Linked DNA regions of Lonchura striata. The protein of the gene in region 1 binds, or shares a complex with, the protein of each later gene. Links are inferred from orthologs where the notes say so. Each region holds a gene or a part of one and is shown in the gene's direction. Other genes may lie near its edges.

Region 1 (7,169 bases):
GAAAAAAAAAATCACAGAACACATACTTACCAAAATTTGCATTTACTCACAGACTTGGGTATTTTAAAATACATGAAAAGAAGGTAGAAAATTACCTGACTGGGGTCCTGAGCTAGCAGGCTAACAGATTTTTTGAAGTGAACTAGAGGTTTTAAAGTTACACTGGTTACTTAGAAACATCTCTTGACTTTGTACATTACACAAGATACCTCACTCATTTAAACTTAGTCTCAGACATATTTTTTACTGGTCTGGTTGTGTATCTCTATAAATAATGCTAAGTTACTAAGGTCCATCATACAGCATGAAATGGAAAATTTTATATACTTAGAATGGACTCTGATATTTTATGGTATATTTTCTTTTGTGTATGGTTGAGTCCTAACCACTTAGATCTTTCTCACAATAGTTCTAAATGCTAGGGGCTAATACCTAGTGATTTTTGAGTTTGATACATCTGAAGAGTCTCTTTTACTCATCTGCTTTTTTATATGCTTCTCATGCTAAAAATATAATATTACTGAGCTATCATTTAAAAACTAATGTCCTATAGCTGATCAGAAAATAAGTGTGGTAACAGTATTTTAAAAATAAAGTATTTCACATGGAGCTTTAACCAGGTTGGATCAAATGTGAAGAATGACTCAAGACTGTTTTAGTTCTTTAGTGCAGTGATTTTGCTTGCCTTTTTTGTAATCTGCACAAGAGAAAGACTTTAAAAAAAAAAATGAATGCAGGCATAATGGCTATCAAACCACAGCAGTGGTGAAACAGATGTGAAAATTATTTCTGAACTGGATTGACACAGATATTTTTAGAGACAAGTGTATGTTATAAACATTTAAGTTAACAAAACATCTGAATAAGTAAAAATACTCCCTGTTCTACAGAGTCAAGGGCACAGACCATTTATCTTTTGTTTTAGAAACTGGTATCATTTGGGGGGCTATGACAATGGGGGGTTTTTTTGCCATTTAGGAGTCTTACAGAGAGCAAAATTCCATAATTAGTAAGACTGGTGGTTAAATACGACTGATTCTCCATAAAGCTCAGAACCTGTAAAACATCAGAACACATAGAAAACACGAAATAAATACTGGGCTACTCAGGTGCTTAAGAATGTACCACAAGCAGAGTATTAATTAATTTGGACCAATTTTTACTTCTAACAGTTATTATACTTCCCCTAAGACATATGGTATTGGACAGCTTTGGAGACAGCAAATTAAAAGTGACTATTTTGTTTGCTGTTACTATCCAAAAGGGGAATTTCTGTTTCCCAGCTTCTCTAGACAGCCTTTTAAATAATATTTTCAAAGAAGCAAATGTTTCAAGAAGTCTCAAAGAAATTTTACAGTGGAAAGTGCTTGTGAAAGCAGGAAGTACAATAGGGAAATCTTTACTTATCAAACCACTTGTTCTGTGTTATTTATTTTGTCATATTAAGCACCTCTTTGGAACTACATCCACATGGAAAGTGTAACAGAAGAATACCACTCCTCATTTTCAGCTGCATACTCTTCTTTAAGGCTCTGTGCATCAATTACTTTCTGGACGTTGTACATGCTTTTAAAATGTGTAAATATATCAGTGTAATGACAAATACACACCTTCTAGTCAGGCTTTTTTGTTTTTTTTTTTACTTACAGAATACATTTATAGAAAAATTTTATATTTTATTCTGCTCTTGATAAGAACTTTCGCTTGGTCTTGAAAACACTTTGCAGTTAGGAAACTACTTTCTCTGGAGGGCTTTGATGCCAGACACAGTAATGCCTCTTTGTCAACCTTTCAGGAGCAAAGCACAACAACCAAACGTGCATGGGCACACTGATAAGCTTTCTGAGAGGCATGTAAAAACTGCCCTGATTCTCCTACAACATGGACTTCTAATAATGGATTTTTCTAAGCAACAAGCAGCTTCTGGAGGAAAGAGGTGGAACTGAGGTTGATGGCCCAGTGGTTTGGCAGCTTATCAAGAGTTTCCACCACTTCACTGGAAAGGGATCACACTTCAGCACATGAAAACAAGTCATATTTCAGTGACAGCAATGAACCGTGATCCACATTCAAGCAGAAAATTGAAAACTCAGTATTTGGTTGCACTGCTGATACATTCAGTTAAGGACTCTGCCAATAACTGTAACAATAGTTTGTATTATACGATCCATTAAAGTTGGTTAACATTTTGTTAGACTTCTTGATCTTTTCCCACCTCCATCCCCTTATTTTTTACAACAGCCCAGAAGAATGAAAAAGGAAAATAAATTCCTCTTCGTAACACTGAAAGAACAGGCAGGACAAAATTGGGGTTTTACAAGTGGACCAAGAACCAGCATAATCAAATAACACAGCATCATCAAGATAAATCCACTTATAATTTAATAATAAATACGCTATTTTGGTTGTCATGACATTTGATTTTGTTTACATTTACCAATGGGAAAAGCAGTATCTCAGGCCATTCATACTGATCCTAGATGATTTATATTAGTGGTTTTAAAAATAAATAAGCGTATAAAGGAATTCCAGTGTATTTAGTGACCTAAGTATTAGGTCATCTAGATAAAATCTAACAATTGCAGCGGACTTGTGCACAGTTCTTCAGTTCTTAAGATCACAGTGCCACCCTGTGGTCTCACTGTAGAGTTTGATGCCAGCAAACATGCACTACTCCAGGCAGGCTTTTGGTGCTTTTCTCGTTCAAAACATATTCTAGGATGAATTTCTTCACACAAAGGGTGATTAGGCATTGGAATGGGCTTTCCAATGGGTGGTGTCACTGTCTTTGGAGGTGTTTAAGGAGAGACTGTATGTAGCTCTTGGTGTGGTACCACATCTGCCATCTGGTTGACAGGATGGTGTTGGGTCATGGAATGGACGCGATGATCTCAGAGGTCTTTTCTAACCTAATTAATAGTGTGATCTCTTTCCCTAAGAAAATCTCCTAATGGAATGACTCCCCCACTAGAGGCATTATCAGTATTACGCAAACAGCAGCAAGGCACTGTGGTCACTAAGAGTGGAATGAAGATCCATCGGATGTGTAGGCAGGGTCCCCCTGTCATCATGTAGGCAGATGCCAAGAATGTGGTTCCGGATTCCAGACCTTGCTCTGGAAGGAGAGCATTTGATGTTCTTGCCCACAGCTTGGACGCTACAACCTACAAGAATGAAAGTGAAGTGCAAGGTCCTACACCTGGGTCAGGGCAATGCCAGACACAGCTCCAGGTTGTGTGTAGAAGCGATGGAATGCAGCCCTGTGGAGAACAACCTGGGGGTGATGGTTGATGAAAAATGCAACTCACGCCACTCTTCTCCGGCCACAATTACCATTTCCCAACTATTTTTTGGTTTTCTCTCTTCTTAAATATATTACTATAGATACGTTATCGCCATTTCTAATTGGCCCAATCCACCTTTGGATCGTCCAGGGCTTGGCTCTGCTGGACATGGAGGAAGCTTCCAGAGGCTGCTCAAAGCAGCCACCCCGGCTACCCTGGTTTTTAACCAGGCTGTGCAAACCCAATGCAGAGCATCTGAAGGGGGCCTGCAGGGAAGCCAGAGGGGGACTCACAGTCAGGAACTGCCCTGATAGGAATAAGGAGTAATGTATATATAGGGCAAAAATTGAATAATATGGGGCACAAATTGAAAGAAGGGACAGACATTTAGGTCAGATATCAGGAAGAATTTTTTTCCTGTGACAGTGGTGAGGAGCGGGTTGCCCAAGAAGGTTGTAGATGCCCCATCCCTGGTAGTGGTCAATGCCAGGATAGGGTATAGCGTATTCAGCGGGGGCCATGCAGGGGAGGCTGGGGCCAGACGCCCGCTCAGCACCCTCCCAAGGCGTTATCCCTCGGTGATTCCCTAAGTTCCGCTCCCGTCTCCCCCAGCGGCCCCGCGCGCCCTCAGCGAGCCGCCCGCCCCGCCCGCTCCCCACGCGCGCGCCCAGCGCCCCCTGCGGGCGGAGCGCGGGCACGCCCCGCCCACATCCGCCCAGGCCCCGCCCCCTCTGCCCGCCCCGGCAGCGCTAGCGAATCAAAAACCCCGGCCCCGCCCCGCGCCTGCGCAGTGCCGGCAGCGCCGCTTTCCCGCGCGGGTGAGGGGCCGGGCCGGGTCCGTCGGGGCTGGGAGCGCCGCGCACCGGGAGCGCCGCGCACCCGCTGCCCGGCAGGGACCCGTCCGTGCGGGCCTTGGCCCTGTGGGGAACGGGCCTCCCGGTGGGGAACGGGCTTCCCGGTGGGGAGGGGGCTTCTCGGTTGGGGTCGGCCAGTCCCCGCCCCTCCGTGCGCGTTTGAAGCCGGTGCCGCCGAGGCCGGGCGGCGTGTGCTGGGCCCCTGGCCCGGCGCGGACAGCGCCAGGGGCGAGAGGGCTTCCGGGCTGCGGCGGGAATGTCAGCGCGCTCACTGGGTTTTGCTTCGTAGTTGAAGGATGAGAAGTAGTAAGGACCCGTTTTTTGTGAAGTTCATAAAGTCTGCCGGGAGCTCGGAGTATTTTTCTAAAGCTCTTGAGGTAAGTGGGTTTGGTGACCTGGGTGAACTTGGTGAACTGGAGTGTGATTTCTGTGTCGGAGTTCGGCTGTATATGCCATACAATAAACTAACTTACGTCTGTACTCCTGGAAATAAATCTCTTTCTATAGCAGGGGTGTTAGTGTGTAGTAAAGCTTGTTGAACAAGAACAGTTTTGTTGGAGAGCCTCATGAAGTAGCTTCAGTTTCAAAACCTGGTGACATATAGGGAAGGGACATGTAAGGCCTGGATGGTGGTCGCTCATCTGAGCACTCTGCATTGTTTTACACCTTAGGAGGTTAGTGGGAGCCAAAGGCACCATATGGCAGGATCAGGTCCTGAAGGCTTCTTTGCGAAATATTTAAGTTAGAATATTGTGAAGAGGTGTTTTAGCCCTTCTGCCAATACCTGTTTGCATAGTAGCTTTGTTGTGAGCTGTTGCAAGGACGTGCACTTGTGTAGTTTGCACAGGATTGCTTCTTTATTAATTATTTGCTAATTAAATAAATGTTGTTGTACACATCATTTACCTGCAGGCTATAAAAGAATTCCAGTCAGAAGAACATCTCCAGATCCTTGAAGAAGAAACAGTACTCAATATAAAAGAAAATGATAAGTCACTTTACATTTGTGATCCTTTCAGTGGCATGGGTTTCAGTCATCTCAAAAAGGTATGGCATCCAGCAACTTACTTTGAGCTCTGTTCTTTCCTTTTTAGAAGCACTCATGTCCATATTTATATCCTGCATGTTCTCTTCTGCACTGCGTGTAGCAGTGTATGATTATTATTTATTATTAATCATTATGCAAAGCATAATGATTATTTTTAAACATTTGGAAAAGTAAATGGCATGTTCTCTGCTGGAGTCCCTGAGCTCCTGATAAAGTTGATTTGGTTTCATCTGCAAGGTATTGTCTAATGGACACAGGCTAGCTGGAGTCCTTTGGCCTTAGCCATAGCATCAGCTGTTTTTACTGAGTCAGAAAATCTACAAGGATTGTACAGAAAAACCAGAACTGAAAGTAAAACCAGAACTGAAAGTAAAACCAGAACTGTCAGCTACCTGGAGGTTGTAGAGAAGAAGGCGGAGGACAGACCAAGAGCCCTGCCTTCTTCAGAATTCAGGGACAAGAAAAGCCTTCCTGATGCAAATGAACACCCTGCTTATTTTCTTTGTGCTTTCCCTGTTATTTTATTGCAGCTTGGCTGTAGGATTGTTGGACCACAGGTAGTTCTGTACTGCATGCAGTCGCAGCGCTGTGTCCCAAGAGCTGAGTATCCCGTGTACAACATGACCATGGCTGATGTCACAGTGTCCTGTACCAGCCTGGAGAAGGACGTGAGGGTAAGGCCTTCCCAAGGATGGATTGTTTAGCTGGTTATCATTGATACTTGCTTTGCATTGTTCATTAGTAAGGCAGCAGTCAGAGCATATATGTCTCATTGTGCCTGTGTCTAGATCCATCAAGTCTTCTGTACCTTGTGGACTATGTGTGGTCTATTAATGTATTAATACACCTCAAATATGATTATATATGTTTACTTTATATTTATTCTGATATTTTTTTCTAGTACTTCCTGAAATGGTAACCATCTGCAAAGTTTTGCTCATAGACCACAATTGTCATGTTTTTATTTAGGGTATATATTTAGGGTATATATTATGTTCATCATAAGTGCAAATAAAATGGAAATTACAGTTTCCTTTTTATGGCTTCCATATATATCTAGTTGGTATTTTTAGGGGAAATCGTGGACAATTGAAATCCATGTTTTTGGTGCAAAGTGAACATGACTGCCACATAGGTTCTTTTTTCTCCTGTCTGTTTTCTCTGTTTTTTTCCCCATCCAGGAAGAAGTTCATAAATATGTGCAAATGATGGGTGGATGTGTATACAGAGATCTCAACATGTCAGTAACTCATCTTATAGCTGGAGAAGTTGGCAGCAAGAAATACTTGGTAGCTGCTTCCCTGAAGAAACCTATTTTGCTTCCCTCTTGGGTTAAGACATTGTGGGATAAATCTCAGCAAGGGTATGAAAAAAACAAAACTGATTTTGTTTTGGATAATGGTAATTCTTATGTACAGACTAATTTCTTTTTCATAGTTGATTTTACTTGCAAAATGACTGTTTTCTCTCATTCATTCCTGTAGCATGGTGAGGTACACTGATGTTAACGTGGAAGACTACGTCTGTCCTGTGTTCCTTGGCTGCACAATTTGTGTCACTGGCTTAAGCAGCTCCGACAGGAAAGAAGTGCAGCGCCTCACTACTGAGCATGGTGGGCAGTACACGGGCCAGCTGAAGATGAATGAATGCACTCACCTCATAGTTCAAGAGCCAAAAGGTAAAACTGACAGAATTAATGCTGTTTTCACGTCTGGAGTTGAAGTAGTGTGAAGGTGTGTAAGCACAGGAGCTTGAACTGCCTCTGTGTCTGCTTCAGTGTTGCTCTTACTGCTTCTCTGTTGATGGAAAGAGTAACACAGGGCACCTTTGTTTTGGTGTAAAGTCATGAGAAAGAACAAAAGAGGAAAAAAAGCCAGATAGATAGATGGCATTCAAAGAAAGGAAAAGGGAGAATCCTAGAGGGGATAAAGAAAATAATTTTTTTGGGGAGAGCAGGATAGGACTTAATTTGTACTGTGATTG
Region 2 (7,491 bases), on another chromosome or scaffold:
CCCTAAAACTGCCACATGGACACCCCCAAAACTGCCCCAGAGACCTCAGAACTACCCCAAGAGACTCCAGAGTTATCCCAGGGACCCCCAAACCACCCCAGAGACCCCCCAAATTTGCCCCAGGGATCCCCCCTAAACTGGCCAAAGGAATCCCCAAACTGCCCCAGGGACCCCAGAACTATCTCAGAAACCCCCAAACTGCCCTGGGGACTCCCCAGACTGTTCCAAAGGACCTCCAAACTGCCCCAGGGACCCCCCAAACTGCCTCGGAGATCCCCAAAACTACCCCAGAGACCCCCAAATCTGTCCCAGGGACTCCCAAAACTGCCCCAGGGATCCCAAATCTCCCCCTCTTCACCCCCATCTCCTGTCACCCCTCTCTCCCCCTGTCCCTCCCTAGCCACCTCCTGAGCCCGCCGACCCCGAGGGCGACTGGGGGGGTCCCAGCTCAGGCAGTGAGAGTGGGGGGCTGGGGGGACCCCCACACCCCCCCGGGGCCCCCCTGCTCCCCCCGGGGTCCCCCGAGACCCCCCTGAGCAGCGACGGGGACTCGGAGCCCGAGGACGAGGCGCTGCGGGAGCAGCTGCGGCGGCTGCGGGAAAAGTGAGTGAGGGGCTTTGGGGGGATTTGGGGGGTCCTGAGGAGGTTTTGGGGGTCCCAAGGTGGCTTGGAGAGGTTTAGGGACACCCCCTGACCCCACCTGAGCTTATCCAGGAGGTGCTGGAGCTGTGAGTGTGGCAGGACTGGGACCCCGGTGGACCCCTCCAAGCACGTCCAGGAGGTCCCAGGAGCTGCCAGTGCAGCCCCCCGAGAGAGTTTGGGGGCCCAGGGGAGATTTTGGGGGTCTTGGGGACGTTTTGGGGGTCCTGGGAGGGTTTTGGGAGTCCCAGGAGGGGTTTGGGGACGTCCCCCAAGCACGTCCAGGAGGTCCCAGGAGCTGCCAGTGCAGCCCCCTGAGAGAGTTTGGGGGCCCAGGGGAGATTTTGGGGGTCTTGGGGACGTTTTGGGGGCCCTGGGAGGGTTTTGGGGACCCCCGTGACCCCCCCCTGGTTCCCCCAGGCACATCCAGGAGGTTCTGGAGCTGCGGGCGCGGCAGGACCGGGAGCTGCGGGAGCTGCACCGGCGGCTCCGGGCCCTCAAAGAGGCCCGGGGGGACCCCCCGAAATGGGGAGGGGGCGGTGGGACCCCCCCCCAGCGCGGCCACGGGGGGTCCCCGAGGCGGCCTCGGGGGGCCCGGGCACGAGGGAGGGGCCGGGGAGTGGCCCTGACAGGTTTGGGGGGAAAAGAGGGGATTTTGGGGGGAAAAGAGGGGATTTGGGGGGACAAAGAGTGGATTTTGGGGTGGGGGAAGGAGGTTGGGGTAAAAAGAGGAGGTTTTGGTGTGCAGGGGGAGGGGGTTTTGGGGTATGAAAGGTTTGGGGTGTTGGGAGGTTGAGGCTAAGAGGGGTTTGGGGTGCAAAGGAGATGCTGGGGAGCAAGGAGGGGATTTTGGGGTGCAGGGGGAGGTTTTGGGGTACAAAGAGGGGATTTTGTGCATGAAGGGGGAGGTTTAGGGGTAAAAAGGGGAATTTTTAGAGGGATTTTGGGATTTTGAGGGTGCGCAGTTTGGGGTAAAAAGAGGTTTTGCCGTGCAGGGAGGGGTTTTGGGGTGCAGGGGGAGGTTTTTGGGTGCAGGTGGGCCCTGGGGCGCTCCCCTGTTTTCCAAACTCCCCTCCCTCACCCACAGAAGCCTCAGCTCCCTCCCCGGGCCCCCCGATCCCCCCGGCCCCCCCAAAAAAGGGGCTCTTCACCGACGACCTGCACCGGCTGGTGGACGAGTGGGTCCAGGACACGGCCAGGGCCCAGGTGGGGGGCTGGGGGGGACTTTTGGGGGGGTCTGGGATGCCTGCACCCCTTTTTTGGGGGATTAGAAGGGTCCTGTATCCCATTTTTAGGGGTCGGGAGGGCTTTTTGGGAGTCTGGGGGGATTTTTTGGGGGGTCTGAGATGGTTATTGGGGGGCTGCATCCCATTTTTGAGGTGCTCAGGGGATTTTGGGGGTCTACAGGGGCCATGCACCCCATTTTTGGGAGTCTCGGGGCGGGTGGGAAAGCTGTGAGGGTTTTTTGGGGAGGGGTTGAGATTGCTTTTAGGGAGCTGAACCCCCTTTTTGGGGGTATGAGGGGATCTATTGGGGGGGGCTGCACCCCATTTTGGGGAGCTTCACCCCATTTTTGGGGGGCTGGGGGCATCTTGGGGGGCTGGCATGGCTTGAGGGGGACCCTGAACTTCCTTTTTTGGTGTCTGGGGGATCCCCACAGTCGTTTTTGGAGGGTTTGGGGGCTTGGGGGTGCACTTCACCCCCTTTTTGGGGGTCTGGGGGGGATCCCCAAAACCTGAACACCACTTTTTTTGCCCCCCACTCCCTCCAGGCCACCTCCTCCTGGGTCTCCACCCTGCGCGGCACTCGTGGGACCCCCCGAAAATGGGGGGAGCTGCCCCCCCCAAAACCTGCCCTGCGTGGGGGGGGCAGCCCCCTCCCCCCGGGGGCAGAGTGAGGGGGGCCCCAGACCCTGACCCCTCCAACACCCAGATTTTGGGTCAAACTTCCAATTTTCAGCCCCGAAATTGCTTTGTTTCACCCCAAAACCCCCTTGTTTTACCCCCCTCCCCGCATTTGGTGACCCCAAATTTCCAGCCCTAAAATGACCTCGTTTCACCTCAAACTTCCCCTTATTTTGGGTCCTGTGCTGTGACCCCTATTTCTGGCCCCAAAATTGCCTTATTTTGCCCTAAAATTTCCCCTTTTTTGCTGCCCATGTGGGCTGAACCCACTTTTTGGCCTCAATTCACCCCCAAAATCCCCTTTTTAGGATACTCAAGCGCCCCGAACCCCTATTTCTGGCCCCAAAATTGCCTTATTTTGCCCTAAAATTTCCCCTTTTTTGCTGCCCATGTGGGCTGAACCCACTTTTTGGCCTCAATTCACCCCCAAAATCCCCTTTTTAGGATACTCAAGCGCCCCGAACCCCAATTTCTGGCCCCAAAACCACCTCATTTTGACCCCAAATCCCCCCTTTTTGGCCCCAAAATCTCTCTATTGTATCCCAACCCCACCTTTTTTTGGGTCATTCCCCCTTTGCAAGGTGACCGCACTTCCTGGTGCCCCAAATCCCCTTGTTTCACTCCAAAACTCCCCTTTTTTGTGCCCTGCCCACCCCAGTTTTCTGCCCTAAATCCCTCATTCTACCCCAAAATCCCCTTTTTTGGGCCTTTCCCTCTCTGCATGAGGTGTCCCCATTTTTTAGCCCCCAAATCACCTCATTTCACCCCAAAAAATCTCGTTTTTTGTGGCCTTTCCACTAATCTTTTTCACCTCCCCAAATGTGATGCCACTTGTTGGCCCCAAAATTGCCTTGTTTCACCCCAAAACCCCTTTTTTGGGCCTATCTCCCCTTTTTTTACCCCTCCCACAACATTACCCCTGGTTTTGCTCCCCAAATCGCATAATTTCATCCAAAAAAGTCTCTTTTAGGGCCTGCCCTTCCCCCACAGGGTATCATCGCTATTTTCATCCCCAAAATCTCCTCATTTCACACAAAAATCCCTTTTTTTGGGCCTTGTCACTCTTCTTTCCCCACATGAAGCAACCCAAATTTTTAGCCCCTAAATGGCCTTGTTTTGCCCTAAAACTCAAACAGTTGAACCCCAACCTTTCATTTATCTAAAAATTCTTTTTTTTTCCTCTCAAAACACTCCAGAGCCCCCAAAATTCTCATTTTTCACCCAAAGCCCCTCACAGGCCTGGAATTTCTCCCAATGTGACCACAGCGGAGGCAGGTGGGCTGTACTGGGTTTACTGGTGACCCACCCCGCCCATACTGGTCATACTGGTGCAACAACCCCCTCTCATTCCTGTACCCCTCCCTCAGCCCATTTTTGGGTCATTTTGTCGTGTTTTCCTCTCATCTACCTCACCCCTTCACCAAGCCAGCGAGGTTTCGGGGTGAATTCTCGAGTGTTCTGGTTCGAGAGGGTGGGGAAGGCGTTTGTTTTGTGGGGAAATTGTTAAAAAGCGCGGGAAAAAAAAAAAAATCCTAAAATGTGAGAAATAAAAGCGTGGCTGGTGCGCGCCACTCCCAACATGGCGGCCGGACCGCGACACTCGAGCTGGCGAAGGCGGCGCCGCGCCCAAGATGGCGGCCCCGCCCCCCGCCCACCCAATGGGGGCGCCCTCGCCCTTCCCAAGATGGCGGCGCGACGCGGCCAAAATGGCGGCCGGGCCCCGCCCTCTCCCTCCCCGTTTCCGCGTTTGAATAAAACTTTCCCGGGCGGCCCGGAGCGCGCAGAGGCCGCGGCGGCGGCGGCAGCACCGGGCCCGGGGCCGGCAGCGGCGGTAGCGACCGGGCGGCGGCGGAGGAGCGGCCGCGAGAAGCGCTGGGCCTTGCCGGGGCGGGCTGCGGCCTAGTCGGGAGGTGGCGGTGGGGGGGGGGCGCAGGCCTCGCGGCGGCCCGCAGGCCTCGGGGGGTCCCGTCGGCTTTGTGGGGGTGTCGGCGGCTATTTGGGGATCCCCAAAGCTTTTAGGGGGGTCCCGCGGGTCTTTGAGGGGGTCTCGGGGACTCCACAGCGCGGGAGGAGGGGGAGGCCGGGGCCCCGCGGGCGCTGTGAGGGGACCCCGGGCCCGGCGGCGCTTTTGGGGGTCCCCACACGCAATAGGAGTAGGGGGCACCCTGCGGGCGCATTTTTGGGGGGCTCTGGGCCTCGGGGAGGGGGTCACAGTGCCTCGGTGACCCTTGGAGGGGTCTCCCTACATCTGTGTAATTTTGGGGGAGGTCTCAGGCTCTCATCAATACCTGAGGGGGATCCCAATCTCCGCAGGCCCTTTTGGGGTGCCCCCGACCCATATTGGTTTTTTTAGGGGTTGTGCTCCCCAATTCCCCTCAGGGCCCTCCGCTGGCCGCGATCTGGGGGGGCTTTGGGGGTGTTTATAGGGGAGCAGCCTAGGGGTTGATTTTGGGTTTTTTTTTTTTTTTTTTTTAGTTTTTTCTTTTTGAGGGAGTTGTTTCAGGCGTGTTTTTGGGGCGCTTTTCGAGGCTGTTCTTGTGGTTTTGCTGAGGTTGTTCTGGGGGGATTCTGAGGCTGGTTTTGGGTTTTTTTAGGCTGTTTTGGAGATCTTTTTGAGGCTGCCTTTGGAGTGATTTTGAGGGTGTTTTTTGGTTTATTTATTTTTTTTTTTGAGGGGATTTTCGGGGGTCTGGCGGGCAGCGCGCGGATGTCCCGGGCCGGGGGGGGTCGCGGGGGTCCGTAGGGTCGGGGGTCGCCCCGGGGGCCCGGCCATGGCCTCGGTGCCCGTGTACTGCCTGTGCCGCCTGCCCTACGACGTGACCCGCTTCATGATCGAGTGCGATGGCTGCCAGGACTGGTTCCACGGCAGGTGGGACTGGGAGCACTGGGGGGGACTGGGACTGGGGGTACTGGGAGGCATCCAGAGGGTGCTGGAGGGGACTGGGAGGCACTGGGGGGGGGGGACTAGGAGACGTCTGGGAGGGACTAGGGGTACTGGGAGGCACTGGGAAAGACTGGGACAAGTCTGGGAGGTACTGGGAGGCATCTGGAGGGTGCTGGAGGGGACTGGGAGGCATCTGGAGGGTGCTGGAGGGGACTGGGAGGCACTGGGGGGAACTGGGAGAAGACTCGGAGGCACTGTGGGGAGACTGGGAGACGTCTGGGAAGGACTGGGGGTACTGGGATGCACTGGGAAGGACTGGGACAAGTCTGGGAGGTACTGGGAGGCATCTGGAGGGTGCTGGAGGGGACTGGGAGACACTGGGAAGGACTGGGAGAAGGCTGGGAGGGACTGGGGGTACTGGGAAGGACTGGGACAAGTCTGGGAGGTATCTGGAGGGTGCTGGAGGTGACTGGGAGAAGTTCAGGGGTACTGGAAGGGATTTGAGAGGCAACTGGGAAGGATTGGGAGAAGCCTGGGTGGTACTAGAGGGCACTGGGAGAAGTCTGGGGGGGTCTTCAGAATACTGGGAGGGACTGGGAGGTACAAAGAGAGTTCTGGGGTGTGATGGGGGGTTACTGGGGAGGTGCCTGGTGGTCACTGGGAGGCATTGGGGGTTACTGGGGAGGTGCCTGGTGGTCACTGGGAGGCATTGGGGGTTACTGGGGAGGTGCCTGGTGGTTACTGGGGTGTCCCCACAGCTGCGTGGGGGTGGAGGAGGAGGCGGCGGCGGAGATCGACCTGTACCACTGCCCCCAGTGCGCTGTGCTCAGGGGGCCTTCCGTCAGTGAGTGGGACTGGGAGGACTGGGAGGGACTGGGGTGGGGGGACAGAGGCTCTCTGTCAGTGGCTGGCACTGGGAGGGACTGGGATGCACTGGGATGGGGGCGGGGGAGATGCTCTGGGCTCTGTGTGGATCCCTCCCTGTTCCTCTGTCCCTGCTTCCCTGTGTGTCCCCACCCGTGTCCCCGTGTGTCCTCACTCTGTTCTTTTGTCCTTGTGTGTCCCCACCTGTGTCTTTCTGTCCTTGTCCTGTCCTTCTGTCCCCACTGTCTCCACCGTGTCCCTGTGTGTCCCCACCGTGTCCCCCTGTCCCCACCGTGTCCCCCTGTCCCGCAGTGAAGCGGCGCCGTGGCCCGGCCAAGGCCCCGGAGCAGGACCCCGGCCGTCCGGCCCGCACGGGCAGTGCCCAGTTCATCCGGGAGCTGCGGGGCCGCACCTTCCCCAGGTGAGGGTAGTGCCAGGTGTGGGGCAGTGCCAGGTGTGGGTCAATGTGGCTGTACCCCTTGCACAGGTGAGGGTCAATGCCAGTGAGGGTCAGCCCTGGGTGCTGTTGGTCAGTCCAGGGGGAGTTGGTTGGTCACTCTTGGGGGTCTCACCCCCCTGCTCTGCCCCCCAGCACGGACCAGGTTCTGCTGTGGCCCAACAAATGCTGAGGGGTTGGGGGTCCCTTTAGGAACTGGGGTTCCCTGTGAGGGTCTGGGGTCACTCTTGGGGGTCTCACCCCCCTGCTCTGCCCCCCAGCACGGACCAGGTTCTGCTGTGGCCCAACAAATGCTCAGGGGTCGGGTGATCCCTGTGGGGTTGAGGGGGTCCCTGTAGGAACTGGGGTTCCCTGTGAGGGTCTGGGGTCACTCTTGGGGGTCTCACCCCCCTTCTCTGCCCCCCAGCATGGACCAGGTTCTGCTGTGGCCCTGCAAATGTTCAGGGGTTGGGGGTCCCTTTAGGAACTGGGGTCCCCCGTGGGGGTCTGGGGTCACTCTTGGGGGTCTCACCCCCCTGCTCTGCCCCCCAGCACGGACCAGGTTCTGCTGTGGCCCAACAAATGCTGAGGGGTTGGGTGATCCCTGTGGGGGTTGAGGGGGTCCCTGTAGGAACTGGGGGTCCCTGTGGGGGTTGAGGGGGTCCCTGTAGGAACTGGGGGTCCCTGAGGGGGTCCCTGGGGGTCTCACCCCCCTGCCCTGCCCCCCAGTGCTGACGAGGTGCTGCTGCGGCCCAGCGGGGCCC

What was found.
Region 2: the proteins of TOPBP1 (region 1) and PHF8 are in contact, whole or in part, in a crystal structure (PDB 7CMZ), measured with the Homo sapiens proteins. The link is inferred for Lonchura striata from reciprocal best matches to the Homo sapiens genes TOPBP1 and PHF8. Residues at the interface, in NP_008958.2 of Homo sapiens: Gln1298, Cys1299, Arg1314, Asn1315, Glu1316, Leu1319, Arg1369, Ser1406, Arg1407, Gly1410, Phe1411, Arg1413, Leu1414, Arg1465, Thr1466, Glu1467, Ala1470, Asp1471, Gln1475, Asn1483, Tyr1484; in NP_001171825.1 of Homo sapiens: Gly842, Ala843, Cys844, Phe845, Asp847, Ala848, Tyr850, Ile851, Tyr852, Pro853, Ser854, Leu855, Glu856.

What each region holds. Positions count from the first base shown.
Region 1 is NC_134603.1:113,165,638-113,172,806, forward strand, and holds the start of TOPBP1 (DNA topoisomerase 2-binding protein 1), read left to right. Parts: upstream 1-4,164; 5' UTR 4,165-4,434; coding exon 4,435-4,515; intron 4,516-5,050; coding exon 5,051-5,185; intron 5,186-5,716; coding exon 5,717-5,860; intron 5,861-6,367; coding exon 6,368-6,549; intron 6,550-6,670; coding exon 6,671-6,864; intron 6,865-7,169. UniProt on the Homo sapiens protein: Scaffold protein that acts as a key protein-protein adapter in DNA replication and DNA repair. Composed of multiple BRCT domains, which specifically recognize and bind phosphorylated proteins, bringing proteins together into functional combinations.
Region 2 is NC_134638.1:798,295-805,785, reverse strand, and holds the start of PHF8 (histone lysine demethylase PHF8), read left to right. Parts: upstream 1-4,475; 5' UTR 4,476-5,314; coding exon 5,315-5,412; intron 5,413-6,185; coding exon 6,186-6,271; intron 6,272-6,603; coding exon 6,604-6,712; intron 6,713-7,456; coding exon 7,457-7,491. Other genes in the region: serine/threonine-protein kinase WNK3, read left to right, coding at 401-603, 1,060-1,271, 1,727-1,845, 2,411-2,536. UniProt on the Homo sapiens protein: Histone lysine demethylase with selectivity for the di- and monomethyl states that plays a key role cell cycle progression, rDNA transcription and brain development.